Stegostoma tigrinum: one gene and its partner. The protein of the gene in region 2 purifies or fractionates together with the protein of the main gene of each other region. This does not show direct contact. Links are inferred from orthologs where the notes say so. Each region holds a gene or a part of one and is shown on either strand. Other genes may lie near its edges.

Evidence for each region.
Region 1: the proteins of integrin alpha-6-like (region 2) and CD151 antigen purify together in Homo sapiens (co-immunoprecipitation; 3 studies listed by BioGRID and IntAct, with this or other methods). This does not show direct contact. The link is inferred for Stegostoma tigrinum from reciprocal best matches to the Homo sapiens genes ITGA6 and CD151.

Annotation. Positions count from the first base shown.
Region 1 is NC_081370.1:8,979,662-8,986,794, reverse strand, and holds the start of CD151 antigen, read right to left. Parts: upstream 3,013-7,133; 5' UTR 2,820-3,012; intron 244-2,819; exon of another isoform or gene 3-243; intron 1-2. UniProt on the Homo sapiens protein: Structural component of specialized membrane microdomains known as tetraspanin-enriched microdomains (TERMs), which act as platforms for receptor clustering and signaling.
Region 2 is NC_081360.1:49,272,720-49,280,510, reverse strand, and holds the start of integrin alpha-6-like, read left to right. Parts: upstream 1-4,780; 5' UTR 4,781-4,985; coding exon 4,986-5,161; intron 5,162-7,791. UniProt on the Homo sapiens protein: Integrin alpha-6/beta-1 (ITGA6:ITGB1) is a receptor for laminin on platelets. Integrin alpha-6/beta-1 (ITGA6:ITGB1) is present in oocytes and is involved in sperm-egg fusion.

The DNA.
Region 1 (7,133 bases), on a different chromosome or scaffold from region 2:
ACCGGTTGCTGTAGCCTCTGCTCGCTGTTTCTGTTTCTCTCTCACACACACACACACACCCTCTCACTGTCCCAGCGGCTGTGCCCAGCTCCGGGGGCTGCCCTCCGACTCACTTCGCTTCAACTGCACTCGCCGAAAATGACAAAGCATCGATAAACCCGCCCCGTCTCAAACTGAGCCCTGCCTCATCCCGGAGCAACCCAGCCTGGCCCCAGGGCCACCCACACACGGGGTTGTGCCAGTGTCACTGCGTTCCCCTACCACCTAGTGGAAACAGAGAGCACCACAGTACAATACTCATGTAGCTGCATTCATATAGCACCGAGAGAAACCCAGCAATGTCAGGCTAGCCCCCAGGACACCCAGAGCATTCACACACAGAGGGAGAGCACAGGGCAATGCTACTGTAACTGCATTCATATGACATCTAGTGGATATGGAGACAGAGAGAAAGAGAGACACCATGTACTGTACTAATGTAACTGCATTCATCTAGCACCGAGTGAAACACAGCACTGTCAGGCCAATCCCAGCACACCTAGTGCATAGACACAGAGAGGGAGACCACAGGGCAGTACTAACATAACCACATTCCCTAGTGCCTAAGTGGATACACGCAGAGTGAAATAGAGACACCACACTACAATCCTAATGTAACTGCATTCATCTAGCACCTACAGAAACACAGTAAGCCAACCCCGGGACACCTAGTAAATACACAGAGAGAGATCACAGTGAAAAACACACACAGCTTCAGGTTTATTATTGTACTTTAAAGTAAGAAGCCAGCCCTCCTTATGGTTGCCATCTGAACAGGCCTAGAGAGCCAAGTGGTTGCATAGGAGTGCCACAGAAATAGCTGCCAGCCTCTGGACTGAGCAAAGAATACAGCCCTCAGAGGCCTCCAAACTGACCCTGAGAGGGGGGGACCCTGTAGCTGAATTAGCAGAGCTGTCCCACAGGCCAGTCAGCGGACATAGACTCATGGAATCTGACTTTACAATGTCCCACACCCTGCTATCAGCCAGCTTGATTTTAATTAATATATAAACAATATAAATGAGAAGGTGGGGAGACAATGATAAGAGAGGTTGGATAAGTTCAAGCTGTTTTCTTTAGAGCAGAGAAGGTTAAGAGGGAACCTGATTGGAGTGTATAAGTTTATGTGGAGCAAGGACAGGGTGTACAGAAAGCAGCTGTTCCCCTTAGTTGAAGGGTCAATAAAGGGGGCATAAGTTTAAAGTGAAAAGCAGGAGGTTTAGACAGGATTGTAAATAAAAATATTTTCACCCAGAAGGTGGAAGGGATCTGGAATGTACTGCCCAGGAGGGTAGTTGACGCAGAAACCTCACAACCTTTAAAAACCCAGCTATGCCTGCCTGTTTGTAGGTTATGTCAAACAGACGCTCATTAGAACATATACTAATATTGTTCCCGAACTCTTCCGCCATTACCTCGATGACTACGTTAGTGCTGCGTCCTGCACCCAGGCTGAACTGGAACAGGTTATAAACTTCACTAACAACTTCCACACCGACCTCAAATTCACTTGGTCTATCTCAGACACCCCCCTCCGTTTTTGTGACCTGTCCATTTCCATTTCTGGTGACAGTTTACGGACTGACACTTACTGTAAATCCACATATTCCCATAGCTACCTAGACTACACCTCCTCCCACCTTGTATCCTGCAAAAACCCAATTCCATTTTCCCAATTCCTCCGCCTCCATTACATCTGGTCTGATAAGAAAATGTTCCACTCCCAAGCATCCTGAATGTCTGCCTTTTCCAAACAATGCTCTTTTCCCACTTCTGTCATTCAGACGGCCCTCCACCGTGCCCTTTCCATTCTCTGCTCCACAGCTCTTAACCACCCACCAACAAAACATAATAAAGATAGCACCCTCCTTGTCCTCACTTTCCAATCCACCAGCATCTGCATCTAACGTATCATCCTCAAACACTTGCGCCAATTCCAATTAGACCCCACCGCCAGGAACATCTCCCACTCCCCACCCGTCTCTGCCTTCTGCAAGGACCATTCCCTTTGCCACTCCTTAGCTCATGCCACACTCCCTACCAACCACTCCGACCCACCCAGTATCTTTCCCTCTAACCATAAAAGATACAATATCTGCCCACACACCACCTCCCTCACCTATATTCAGGGCTGTGAACAGTCCTTCAAGTGAGACAGAACTTCACCTGCATCTTCTCCAACCTAGTCTATTACTTCTGATGATGCCAATGTGGTCTTCTTTACGTCAGTGTGACCAAACGTAGACTACATAACTGTTTCGCCGAACATCTTCGCCCGGCCCGTAACAGCCAACCTAACCTCCTAGTCATCTCCCATTTCAAACCCCACCACTGCACCCCCCCACCCACCACCCCCCTCCAACATGTCCATCCTCAGCCTTTTCCAGTGTCGCAGCGAACAAGAACACAAATTTGAAGAACAACACCTTATCTTCTGCCTGGGCACCCTACAGCCTGTAGGACTCAACATTGAGTTCTCCAAATTCAAATAACATTCCCAGCCACCCCCCCACCTCCCTTTCCAGACCCTTCCATTCCGCCTACTGACCCTCTCTTCCAGCCATCAACTGCATTCAACCCTCCCATCAACCAACCAGGTCATACCTGCCACCAGTGTCCACCTATCACCACCAATCTGTTAAAGCCCCCCCATTTATCTGCAGCTCCCCCTCCCCCCCCATATCCAGTCCTGAAGAAGGGTAATACCCAAAACCTTGGCAGCACTTTTCCTCCAGACGCTGGCTGGCCTGCTGTGTTCTCCCAGCTTCCCGTTTGCCTACCTTTAAAAAGTCCTCGGATGAGCATTTGAAATGTCATACTGTTCAAGGCTGTGGACCTAGTGCCGGAAAGTGGGAATAGCAAAGATAGGTTGATGCAGACATGAAGGGCTGAAGGGCCTCTCCTATGCTGTATGACTCAATGACCCTCCCCGGATCTGGCAGAAGTGTATAGTCCAGTTGGAAAGGAGACAGCGTTTGCACTTCTTACAAGTGTGTTGGACATAGCAAAATACTTGAGAGCCATGGGTGGGTTTTGGAAATGTCATCACTGTTGTAAGAAGCACAAGAGCCAGTCTGTACACGGCAACCTCTTCCCAGCAGCTGTGTGACAATATAGTAACATAGGAACAGGAGGAGGCCTGTTCTGCCATTCAATGAGATCATAGCCGATACATGGCCTCACTCTATATACCTGACTTCGGCCCATATCCCTTTGGTTAACGAAACTTCATCTATCACAGATGTAAAATTTTAGATTTTATCTACCAATAAATTTAAAATCATCAGCCAATAAAATCTGATCTGGAAGAAGAGTTCCAAATCTCTCCCACCCGTTTAGCGTAGAAGTGCTTCCTGACATCTCTCCTGAAAGGTCTGGCCCTAATTCTCAGACTATGTCCCCAGTTCTCGAATCACCAGCCAATGGAAAGAGTTTGCCTTTATCTCCCCTGTCCTTTTCAGTTAATATCTTGAAGACTTCAATCATATCACCCTTTTATCCTTCTAAATAGCAGAGAAAACATGCCCAATTTGCATAACTTCTCCTCATAACTTAACCCCTGAAGCCCAGGTGTGTTTCTTGTGAACCTACATTAGAAGATAGAACACTACAGCACAGTACAGGCCCTTCGGCCCTCGATGACATTGTACCCCCTCCAAGGACTATCTCTCCCTCCTAAGATGTGGTGCCCGTGTTTGCTCACAATACCCCAAGGGAGGGGGTCTATCCAGGTTTTTGTAAAACTACAGCCTTGTACTCCAGTCACAGAGCTATACAGCGTACAAACAGGCCCTTTGGCCCACAAATCATTATGCTGGTCCCAGTCATCTCGATATAAAGGCCAGTGTTCCATTTGCTTTCTTGATTATTGTCTGTTCATGACATTTTAAGATCCATGCACCTGAATCCCCAAGTCTCTTTGGACAGTCACTGTATTTAACTTCATACCATCCAGAGAGTACCGTCAACTATGCTTTCCTGCTCCTCTGTTGCTGCTTGGCCTGCTGTGTTCATCCAGCTCTAAAGCTTGTTATCACCCTCTAAACCCTTCCTATTCATATACCCATCCAGATGCCTTTTCAATGTTGTCATTGTACCAGCCTCCACCACGTCCTCTGGCAGTTCATTCCATACATGCACCACCCTCCTCATGAAAAAGCTACCACTCAGGCCCCTTTTAAATCTTTTCCCTCTCACCTTAAATCCATGTCCTTTTGTTTTGGACTCCCCTACCCTGGGGGAAAAGACCTTGGCTATTCACCTTGTCCATGCTCCTCATGATTTTATAAAACTCTATAAGGTCCCTGCTCAGCCTCCAACACTACAGGGAAAATAGCCCCTAGCATGACTGACTCTGTTTCCATTCTCAATTCCACAGGCTGTAGCCTGAAGGATTTAAACTGTTAGACTTTCGGGAATTATTCCAGATTCTTACTCACCACCCGGGAATTTCTGACTATTGTTCTCCAGTGTCTAAAATCAATGGGTGGGGAAATATTAGCTAAGTGGTTAAGGGAGGTATCACAGGAGGCAGGGGTGGGGGGCAAGGACTGCAGTTTGAAATGTGATAGAAATGATAGATGAATTGCTGCTACCAGGGGTTGCATTTTGAGAAGGAGCAAAAAGAGAGAAAGAACTTTCCCTGCCCATGGGGACAACAAAACCATGTTTCAGTGTGAGCTGTGTTGTTGTATGATTGAGTCTAGCTGGAACGCACAGGCTGTGGGAGGGAGATGCAGGCAGCTTTGTTACAAGCCCAGTACAGATCAAAACCCAATTTGTGAGAGGACCATTATTGTCCTTCACTCTGAGGAGACCAGTGGGTGGGCTAGGGAAATGATGTTTCACAAACAGAATACATTTTCCAGTGAAAAGAGGAAGGGATGAGGAAAGAAAGAGAGAAGAGGGCTGGGGAGAAGAGGGAAGGAAAAGGGAGAGAGAGAATGGAGACAGGAGGAAGAGGAGAGGAGAAAGGAAAGATAAAAGTGTGTAGCAGGGGAAGTCTGGGCGGTGAGGGAGGAGGAGAGACTGGAAGGGAGCCAGAGGGAGAAAAGATAGGGAAGATGGGAAGAAGAGGAGAGCAGGAGAAGAAAAGGAGGGAGGGGTGGGAGTGAGTGAGGGGCAAAAGCGAGCAGGATGTAACTATATATTGTTATACAGTAAATGACAGAACGCTTAGTAGGATCAATGTACAGAGGGATTAGGTGTACAGGTTCACAGGACCGTGAAAGAGGAAACACAAGTGGATAAAGTGGTCAATAAGGCATCTGGCATGCTTGCCTTCATCAGTCAGGGCATAGAGTATAAAAATTGGCAAGTCATGTTGTAGCTGTACAGAGCTTTAGTTCAGCCACATTTGGAATATTGTGTACAGTTCTGGTTGCTGCAGAAGGATAGATAGAATTTTCACAGAATCCCTACAGTGTGGAAACAGGCTCTTCAACCCAACAAGTCCACACTGACCCTCAGAGCATCCCACTCAGACCCATTCCCCCATAATGCACCTAATCTGCACATCCCTGAACACTACAGGCAATTTAGCATGGCCAATCCACCTAACCTGCACATTGTGGGAGGAAACTGGAGCACCCAGAGGAAACCAACGCAAATGCAAGGAGAATGTTCAAACTCCACACTGACAGTCGCCCGAGGGTGGAATCAAACCCAGGACCCTGATGCTGTGAGACATCAGTGTTAACCACTGAACCACCAGAAGTGGAGGATTTGGAGAGGGTACAGAAACAGGGTTTACCAGGATTGAGGGGTATAGATGACGGGAGATTGGAGAAACTTGGTTAGTTATCACTTGAACATCAAAGGATTAGTGGGCTGAAAGACGTTTACCAACTTACCAAGGGCATGGATAGTTGGAGTCTTTCTCCCAGGGTAGAAATGTCAATCACTAGGGAACCGAGATTTAAGGTAAAGAGGGGTAACTTTAAAGGGGATGTAAGAGGCAAGTTTAATTTTACACAGAGAGTGGTAGCTCCTTGGAATGTGCTGCTGGAGGAGTTGTTGGAGGTGGATACAATAGTAATGTTTAAGTGGTATCTTGACAGATATATGAATAGGCAGGGAATAGAGGGATATAGACACCATAGAGGCAAAAGGTTTTTAATTTGGAAACACATCATGTAACAGTGCAGTCTTGATGGGCCAAAGGGCCTGCTGCTGTACTGTACTGTTCTTTGTTCTTTGAGAAAGCCAGAGTATAAAAAGTGAGAGCACTTACAGGGATAATAAAATGTGAGGCTGGATGAACACAACAGGCCAAGCAGCATCTCAGGAGCACAAAAGCTGACGTTTCGGCCTAGACCCTTCATCAGAGAGGGGGATGGGGAGAGGGAACTGGAATAAATAGGGAGAGAGGGGGAGGCGGACCGAAGATGGAGAGTAAAGAAGATAGGTGGAGAGAGTATAGGTGGGGAGGTAGGGAGGGGATAGGTCAGTCCAGGGAAGACGGACAGGTCAAGGAGGTGGGATGAGGTTAGTAGGTAGATGGGGGTGCGGCTTGGGGTGGGAGGAAGGGATGGGTGAGAGGAAGAACCGGTTAGGGAGGCAGAGACAGGTTGGACTGGTTTTGGGATGCAGTGGGTGGGGGGGAAGAGCTGGGCTGGTTGTGTGGTGCAGTGGGGGGAGGGGACGAACTGGGCTGGTTTAGGGATGCAGTAGGGGAAGGGGAGATTTTGAAACTGGTGAAATCCACATTGATACCATTAGGCTGCAGGGTTCCCAGGCGGAATGTGAGTTGCTGCTCCTGCAACCTTCGGGTGGCATCATTGTGGCACTGCAGGAGGCCCATGATGGACATGTCATCTACAGAATGGGAGGGGGAGTGGAAATGGTTTGCGACTGGGAGGTGCAGTTGTTTGTTGCGAACTGAGCGGAGGTGTTCTGCAAAGAGGAGGCAATGTGAGTCTCTCCCCAATCTACCTGCTGTTTCAGGTGAACCTTTGAAAGGTCTGAGATGAAAATGTAATTTAATTAAGTGAGATTTAGTATCAAATTTAAAGAAAAAAAATAAAAACATAGATGTTGCAAAGATTAGACAGAGAATTGTGAAATGTTTAAAAGTCATCAAAAGATGACCAAAA
Region 2 (7,791 bases):
ACAACTGCGAGGATCTCCTGTAATTAAATCAAAAGGTTGAGTTAATTAACTTTCAAAAACCACAATCAATTTCCTTTGCGTTAGGTATAAATTCGACCAGCAGAGAGTTACCCCCCTGATTCCCACTGACCCCGATTTTGCTAGGGGCCTTGTGCCATATTTGTTGCTCTGATGTCAAGGGCAATCAGTTTCACCTCATCTTTGGAGTACAGCGCTTTTGTCAATATTTGGACCAAGGGTATCAGGGGATGAGTGACGCTGGCAGAACCTAAACTGTCAGTGAGCAGGTTATTCCTTCTGCAAATGCTATTTTGATGACACTCTCAATGACCCCTTCCATCACTTTGCTGATCAGTGACAGTGGGCTGATGGGCAGTAATTGATGGGGTTGGGTTTGCCTGTGTTTTGGGAACAGGACATACCTAGGCAATTTTCCACACTGCTGGATCAATGTCACTGGTGCAGTTGTACTGGAGCAGCTTCAATGGGAGATTGTTAGTGCTGGAATACAAATGTTTAATGTTATTGCTGGAATATTTTCAGGACTCGTATCCAGTGCCATCTGCTATTTCTTATGATATACGGAATTGAATAGGCTGAAGACTGGCATTTATGATCACCATTTGGCACTTATGGCTGTAGGCGAAAACAAATACTTCAGCGTTGCCTTTTGCACCAATATGCTGTGGTCCCCCCAATAATTTGCAATAGGGATAACCTCCTACTCCAGTGAGTTTTAAATTACCAACCACTATTCATGACTGGGTGTGACAGGACTCTTTAGCTTAAATCTGATCAGTTGGTTGGGAGATCACTCAGCTCTATCTATTGCTTATTACTTGCTTTTACTGTTTGGCCTGCAAGTTGTCCTGTGCTACAGCTTCTTCAGGTCATACCTCATTTTTAGGGATGTGTGATGCCACTTCTGGCATGCTATCCAACACTCTTCATTGATTTCCCCGATTGATGGTGGAAGTAATGAGGGATATGCTGGACCATGAAATTATAGACTATCATTGAAAATAATTTGCAGCTGCTGAATGCACATTACCTCAAATTTGTCCAATTTAGAGTTGATAGCTGTGTTCATAGTCCACCCTATTTAGCACAGTGGTAGTGCCACACAGTAGGATGCATGGTATCTTCACTGTGAAGGGTAGACTTTTTCTTCATGCGAACTGTGCAGAGATTTTCTTTCAATTTGCTTGTGGGACTACTCTTACTGATCTTCATGGATGGACACATCCATAAGAGCATACGTTGTTTCCTCTTGTTGGTTTCAATACCAGCTGTTGCAGACCCAGGCTAGCAGCTATGTCCTTTAGGACACAATCCGCTTAATGATACTAATGAGCCACCCTTGGCGATGAACATTGACATCCTCCACACAAGAGTACATTCCGTACTTTTGCTATTCTCAGTGTTTCATTCTACATTGATGAGTACTGATTCATTTGCCTCAGTAGAGGAGGTATGGGGAGGTAGGTGCTAGTGAGCAGTAGATTTCCTTGCCCATCTTTGAACTGATACCAAGAGATTTCATAAAGTCTACAATGAATTTTGAGGACTCCCAGGGTTACTCCTTCCAAACTGTGTACCACAGTGCTGCCACATGAGATGGGTCAGAGGTTGTGATGGTGTTGTTTGGGACATTATCTGCCAAATATAATTGTGTGCTTGTTCATGGGACAATTGTCCAAATTTTAGTATAGCTCCCTGATGTTATTAAAGAGGGCTTTGCAAGGTTGACACTGCTGTGTTTGCTTATGTCATTTCTGGTGCCTAGGTGGTCTATCCGGTTTCATTTGTTTCTTTCGAATTTTTAGCAATGATACAACTAAGTGTCATGGGAGGCTATTTCGGAGGGCAGTAAAAGTTGGCCTAATCAGTGACACCCACATCCGGTGAATGAATTTTTGAAAAGTCCAATGTACGGATGGTAAATTTCATTTAAAGGACATTATTGAACCAGATGGATTTTTACAACAATGGTTATGTGAATGTCATTAAGTCAATTTCCTAGTTCCAAACTTTATTGAATTCAAATTTCACAATCTGCTTAGGTGACATTCAAACTCATTCAATCCTCAGAATATTAGCCAGGGGTCCTGGATTAATCGCCTAATGACAGTTTCACTGCACCACCTCTCACGTCACTAATATTTATATTTTTAACTAAGGGACTGACTAGCTCAGTTGTCGAGGTGCTAGTTGATCCAACACATCATCCTCTGACACTTCCGCCATCTGCAATCTGACCCCACCACCAAAGACATTTTTCCCTCCCCACCCTTATCTGCTTTCTCGCGGGACCACTATCTGTGACTCCCTTGTCTGCTCCACACTCCCCTCCAGAACCACAACACCCAGCATTTTTCCCTGCAACAGCAGGAAGTGCTACACCTGCCCCTACACCTCCCCCCTCACCCCCATCCCAGGCCCCAAGAAGGCCTTCCACATCAAGCTGATGTTCACTTGCACATCTGCTAATGCGGTATACGGTATCTGCTGTTCCAGACGTGGCCTCCGCTACATTGGGGAAACCAAGCAGAGGCTTGGGACCACTTTGCGGAACACCTACGCTCGGTTCGCAACAAACAACTGCATCTCCCAGTCACGAACTATGTTAACGCTCCCTCCCATTCCTTAAACGACATGTCCATCCTGGCCCTCCTGCCATGCCACAACGATGCCACCCGAAGGTTGCAGGAACAACATCTCATATTCCGCTCGGGAACCCTGCAGCCCAACAGTATTGATGTGGACTTCACCAGCTTGAAAATCTCCCCTCTCCCAACTGCATCCCAAAACTAGCCCAGCTTGTCCCTGCCTATCCTGTCCTCCCACCTCCATCTCCTACCTTGACCTGTCCGTCCTCCTCGACTAACCTATCCCCTCCCTACCTCCCCACCTATACTCACCTTTACTGGCTCCATCCCCACCTCTTTGACCTGTCTGTCTCCTCTCCACCTATCTTTTCCTTTATCCATCTTCTATCCCCCTCCCCCTCTCTCCCTATTTATTTCAGAATCCTCTTCCCCTCCCCCATTTCTGAAGAAGGGTCTAGGCCCGAAACGTCAGCTTTCCTGCTTCTGTGATGCTGCTCGGCCTGCTATGTTCATCCAGCTCTACACCTTGTTCTCTCCCTGCATCGATTCTTGTTCTGGTTGAGGTAGTGCTGGGATCTGCCTCCTTGACCTGCCCTCAGAGTGGAAGACAATAGCAAATTACCATTTGAAAAACTGCCAAAGAAACAACTTTGGATAAAATATCAGCAAACAATAATCCAAGGACCGGCCTCTACACGGTGCACATATTCGTCATATATCAAATATTGTTTTGAGAATTTAAATCGAAAACAGTGGGCCACCACCAAATGCGACAGATCAAACCATTCTAGGTAGAGTCCAAAAACCAAGCAGGAAAATATCAAGGCATACTTGTTTTGTTTGGTGCTGCTCATTCCATTATGGCTGACTGGATGGATGAAAGTTTCACCGAAATTACAAGATTGAGATTTCAGTTCTCACTCTGGAGATTTAAGCTCAGAATCTAGGTTTTGTACTCCAGTACACTAATGGATCGGTGTTGATTGACACAGCTGCTAACTTTTGGATGAGACATTAAATCAAAACATAGCTGGCTTTCAAAACTGAACGTAAAATATCCTTGACACTATTTCATAGGAGAGCAGGGTATTCATCCTTCCTCTCCTGGCGATACATTATCGTGGAGTCAACATTACAAAAGGATTATCTTGCCATTATTCTCCGCAGAGCTTGACTGCCACATTTCCTACATTACAAGGACTACATTTCAATGCAAGGTGGTTGTATCACACTTTAAAGTTCTGAGGTTGCGAAATTTTAAAAAAAGTATTCCGTTTTCGTATGAGATGGCAAGAACTGCAGATATATGGAGTCACAGACAACAGTGTGGAGCTGGAGGAACACAGCAGGCCGGGCAGCATCAGACGAGCTGGAAAGTTGACGTTTGGGGGCGGGAACCTCCTTCAGAAAAATGAAGAAAATATTCTGAAGAACGGTCCCGACCCGAAACGTCAACTTTCCCGCTCCTCTGATGCTGCCCGGCCTTTCCCATTTGTATCTCGCCCCTCCCCCACATCTGTTCCATTACCCACCCATTGTGGCTGTACTTGAAAAGTTCAATGAATATTCATTACTTGTGCATTAATGCGTTTAGTATTCTGAGATAATAGGAACTGCAGATGCTGGAGAATTCCAAGATAATAAAGTGAGGCTGGATGAACACAGCAGGCCAAGCAGCATCTCAGGAGCACAAAAGCTGACGTTTCGGGCCTAGACCCTTCATCAGAGGGTCTAGGCCCATCTGATGAAGGGTCTAGGCCCGAAACGTCAGCTTTTGTGCTCCTGAGATGCTGCTTGGCCTGCTGTGTTCATCCAGCCTCACATTTTATTATCTTGCGTTTAGTATTCTGTTTGCAACAATTAGATCGGCAGGTCACAGACTTGTATACATTGCTACAAAGTAGTCAATAATAATCCAATGGTTTCCACAATAAATACTGACTGCAGTTGCCTCTATGAAAATTGCAAAGTAAAACAGTTAAAACTTCCAAAGGCATGATCTCTATGATAGCTGGCAGACTGGACTGCTGGTTCGTGCTTTTGAAATACCTGTAAAGCAGACCGTTTGAGAGCTCGTTTCTGCTGAACTGAGACAAGTTTGAGCAGCGCCTGCAGTAGACGGCAGAGACCGAGGTTGAACTGAGGTGGGGTGGGAGGGGAGGGGAGGGGTGAAGAGACAAACGCTCCAGGCTGGGGTCAGGTTACTTGCGGCGAGCTGCTGATGGTGGCTGGGAGGGGCGGAGTGAGGCGAGGCCAGGCGTTCACCGTCACTTTATAATCTCATCTTCAACACAAGGCAGCCACTCAGAAATAACAGCCCGAGATCAGACAAAACATTAGCAAGCACTTTCCGACAGATCAGGAGGCATTTCCGATATGGCGGCCCTGGAGCAATGGTTTCTTATCTACTTGTCCTTGTTTTCCCTCAACAAATGGACTTTAGCTTTTAACTTGGATACCGAAAATTTCATTAAGAAAACCGGAAAGCCGTCAAGCTTGTTTGGGTTTTCTCTTGCTATGCACAGGCAGCTCACGCCGAGAGATCAAAAAATGTAAGTATTTGTAGACTGGATTTATTATTAGGTGAAGAAATCGCTATTGCCAAAGTGGAAGAACGGTCGGGAAAATTCCTCTGTGTTGTTACGCTTTAACGCGGGAGATCTCTTGCACACTTCGGCTGCAGTGATTCCAAAACGGCTTGAGCGAACTTTTGTTTTGGACTTTGTGCGAAGTGTTCGGGTACTCGCTGCAGCCGCGCGACCTGTTCGCAGCGGCTGGTGCAGGAAGGTCACGTGCGCCCTCCCCACCGGGAGGAACATAACGACCGCCCGGGGGGTGGTCATCCCCATGGCCACCCCGCTGTTTCTCCGCTCTGCAACCTCCACTGGTTTATGCCAGCACGCCACCCCTCCACCCCCCTTTTCTTTTAGTGCTGATTCCAAAGCTTTTCAATTTAGGGCAATCCTGTTTGGAATCTATAAAGTGAGGGTTTCTGAAGAAGGGTCCCTACCCGAAACGTCGACTCTCCTACTTGCCTGATGCTACCCGACCTGCTGTGTTCCTCCAGCCCCACACTGTGCTGACTTAAAAGGGCACGGGGGTTGTTTGGATTGAGCAGTGTGTCTACTCGGTCAGCGGTAGTTTCAGGGATCACTGATATTTAGGGCAGTGTTGTCGACTCCGTTCCCTGCTCCAGGGAATCTGATCACAGCGTTACATTACAGCCCCGAGTTGTCCCCAGTGAAAGGAATCAGAGCTTTATTACCCGTTCGACTGCCGGCCCTTTAACCAAAGAAGCAGGTTGTTTTCTGAGAAAATGTGATAGGTTTTTCTTTATCTTTTTATTTAAAAAAAGTCTTGCGGTGGTTGGAATCTTAGTTTTAATTACTGGGACTTTTTGCCCAGGACAATGCAGCGATTGTTCGGGTGATCCCAAGTTTGGTGTACAAACTTTTGAGAATGTGTGTTTGGTGTTGGTTTTGGGGTGGGGGTGGCGAGAGCTGCCTGCTTCACCGTACCATTGGCTGCACCTCTCCGGCTCCTCCCTTGCTGCCGGGCCCTGGTTACTGTGGTGCACGGAAATCCCGGAGCCTCACCCCACACCCACACCCCCGTGCATCGTGCTACACATAGTGGCAGGGGACCCAAACGAAATCCAAGCAAAAAACGACAAGAATGTTCTTTCTCTCCTTTTGGAATGAATGACCCTCTTACAAATAGCATGCCTTTAAAACCGAGTCTCAGAATGTCATCAGCAAATATTTTTCGCTTCAGCCGCTCACCATCGACAAACCCAATATATTCTATTTATTCCACGAAGTGCATGCAATTTTTAAAAACTTTGTCAATATACAGTAGCTGTGGAGCCACTTGTCGTTTAGTGTCGTCCTGTTTCTGGCGTAATTGGAATTGATATCTTCTCACAAGGGTTGCATCTTTGTACAGCCTTTTAACAGGAGAAAGAAACTATCCGAAAGGTAAAAGCGAAAAAGAACGACAGTGAAGATCTTAAAGGATCATTTTGAAAATGGGCCAGGAGATAACCAGGCCTAGACATGGAAAACATTTCAGAATAATCAAAACATTTGAAATCTCTGCAAGCCCAGGGTAGATCAGAGCACATGCAATTCAGAGCGGAGTCCGAAAAGTGAGGGATGACTGCATGCATATAGGGTTGTAGGAGGTTCCGGAATGGAGGAATATCGAAGTTTTGGAAGGACTTAACAGTATAGGTTTTGAATGCAGCGTATTAAGAAGTGAAAGGACGGGGATGATTGAAGTCGGAACATAAGGTGGGATGAAATTAAGGTTTCTAACCAGAATGCCGAGGCAGTTTGGAGGAGTGGGATGGGTTTCAGTGGTTGTGGAGGTAAGGAATGAGCAATGTTGCAGTAGAGCAAATAGCTTCACTGGCTACAACACTGAGATTTCACACGCTCCCGCTCTGCTGGGGTGAACAAGCAGGAATAGACGTGCATCTACGTATTATGGTGGCTCTGTGGTCCTCTGAGCGCTTATAGAGTCATAGAGACGTTTAACATGGAAACAGACCCTTCGGTCTGACATGTCCAAGCCAACCAGCTATTCTAAATTAACCTAGTCCCATTTGCCCCACATCCCTCTAAACCCATCCTATTCATGTACCCATCCAGTTGTCTTTTGTATGTTGTAATCGTACCAGCGTCCATCACTTCCTCTGGCAGCTCATTCCATACACGGCACCACGTTCTGCAAAAAAGCTGCCCATTAGGTCCCTTTCAAATCTTTCCCCCTTACCTTAAATCGATGCTCTCTAGTTTTGGACTCCCCCCACCCTGGGAAAAGACCTTGGCTGTTTACACTGTCCATGTCCCTCATGATTTTATAAACCTCTATAAAGTCACCCGTCAGCCTCCGACACTCCGCGCAAAAAAGCCCCAGCCTATTGACTCCCTACAGCTCAAACCCTCCGCATTTGGCTACATCCTTGTACATTCTTTCTGAACCCTTTCAAGTTTCACAACATGGTTCCTATTACCAGAATTAGACGTAATATTCCAAAACTGGCCTAAACAATGTCCTCTCCAGCCTCAATATGACCTCCCAACCTCAATTCTGGGTGAAAAATATAAATTGGTTAGAATGCAAAAGTCTTGGTGTTCTGACATATTTGCTTCTCTTCTGTCATTTTCAAGTTGCTTGG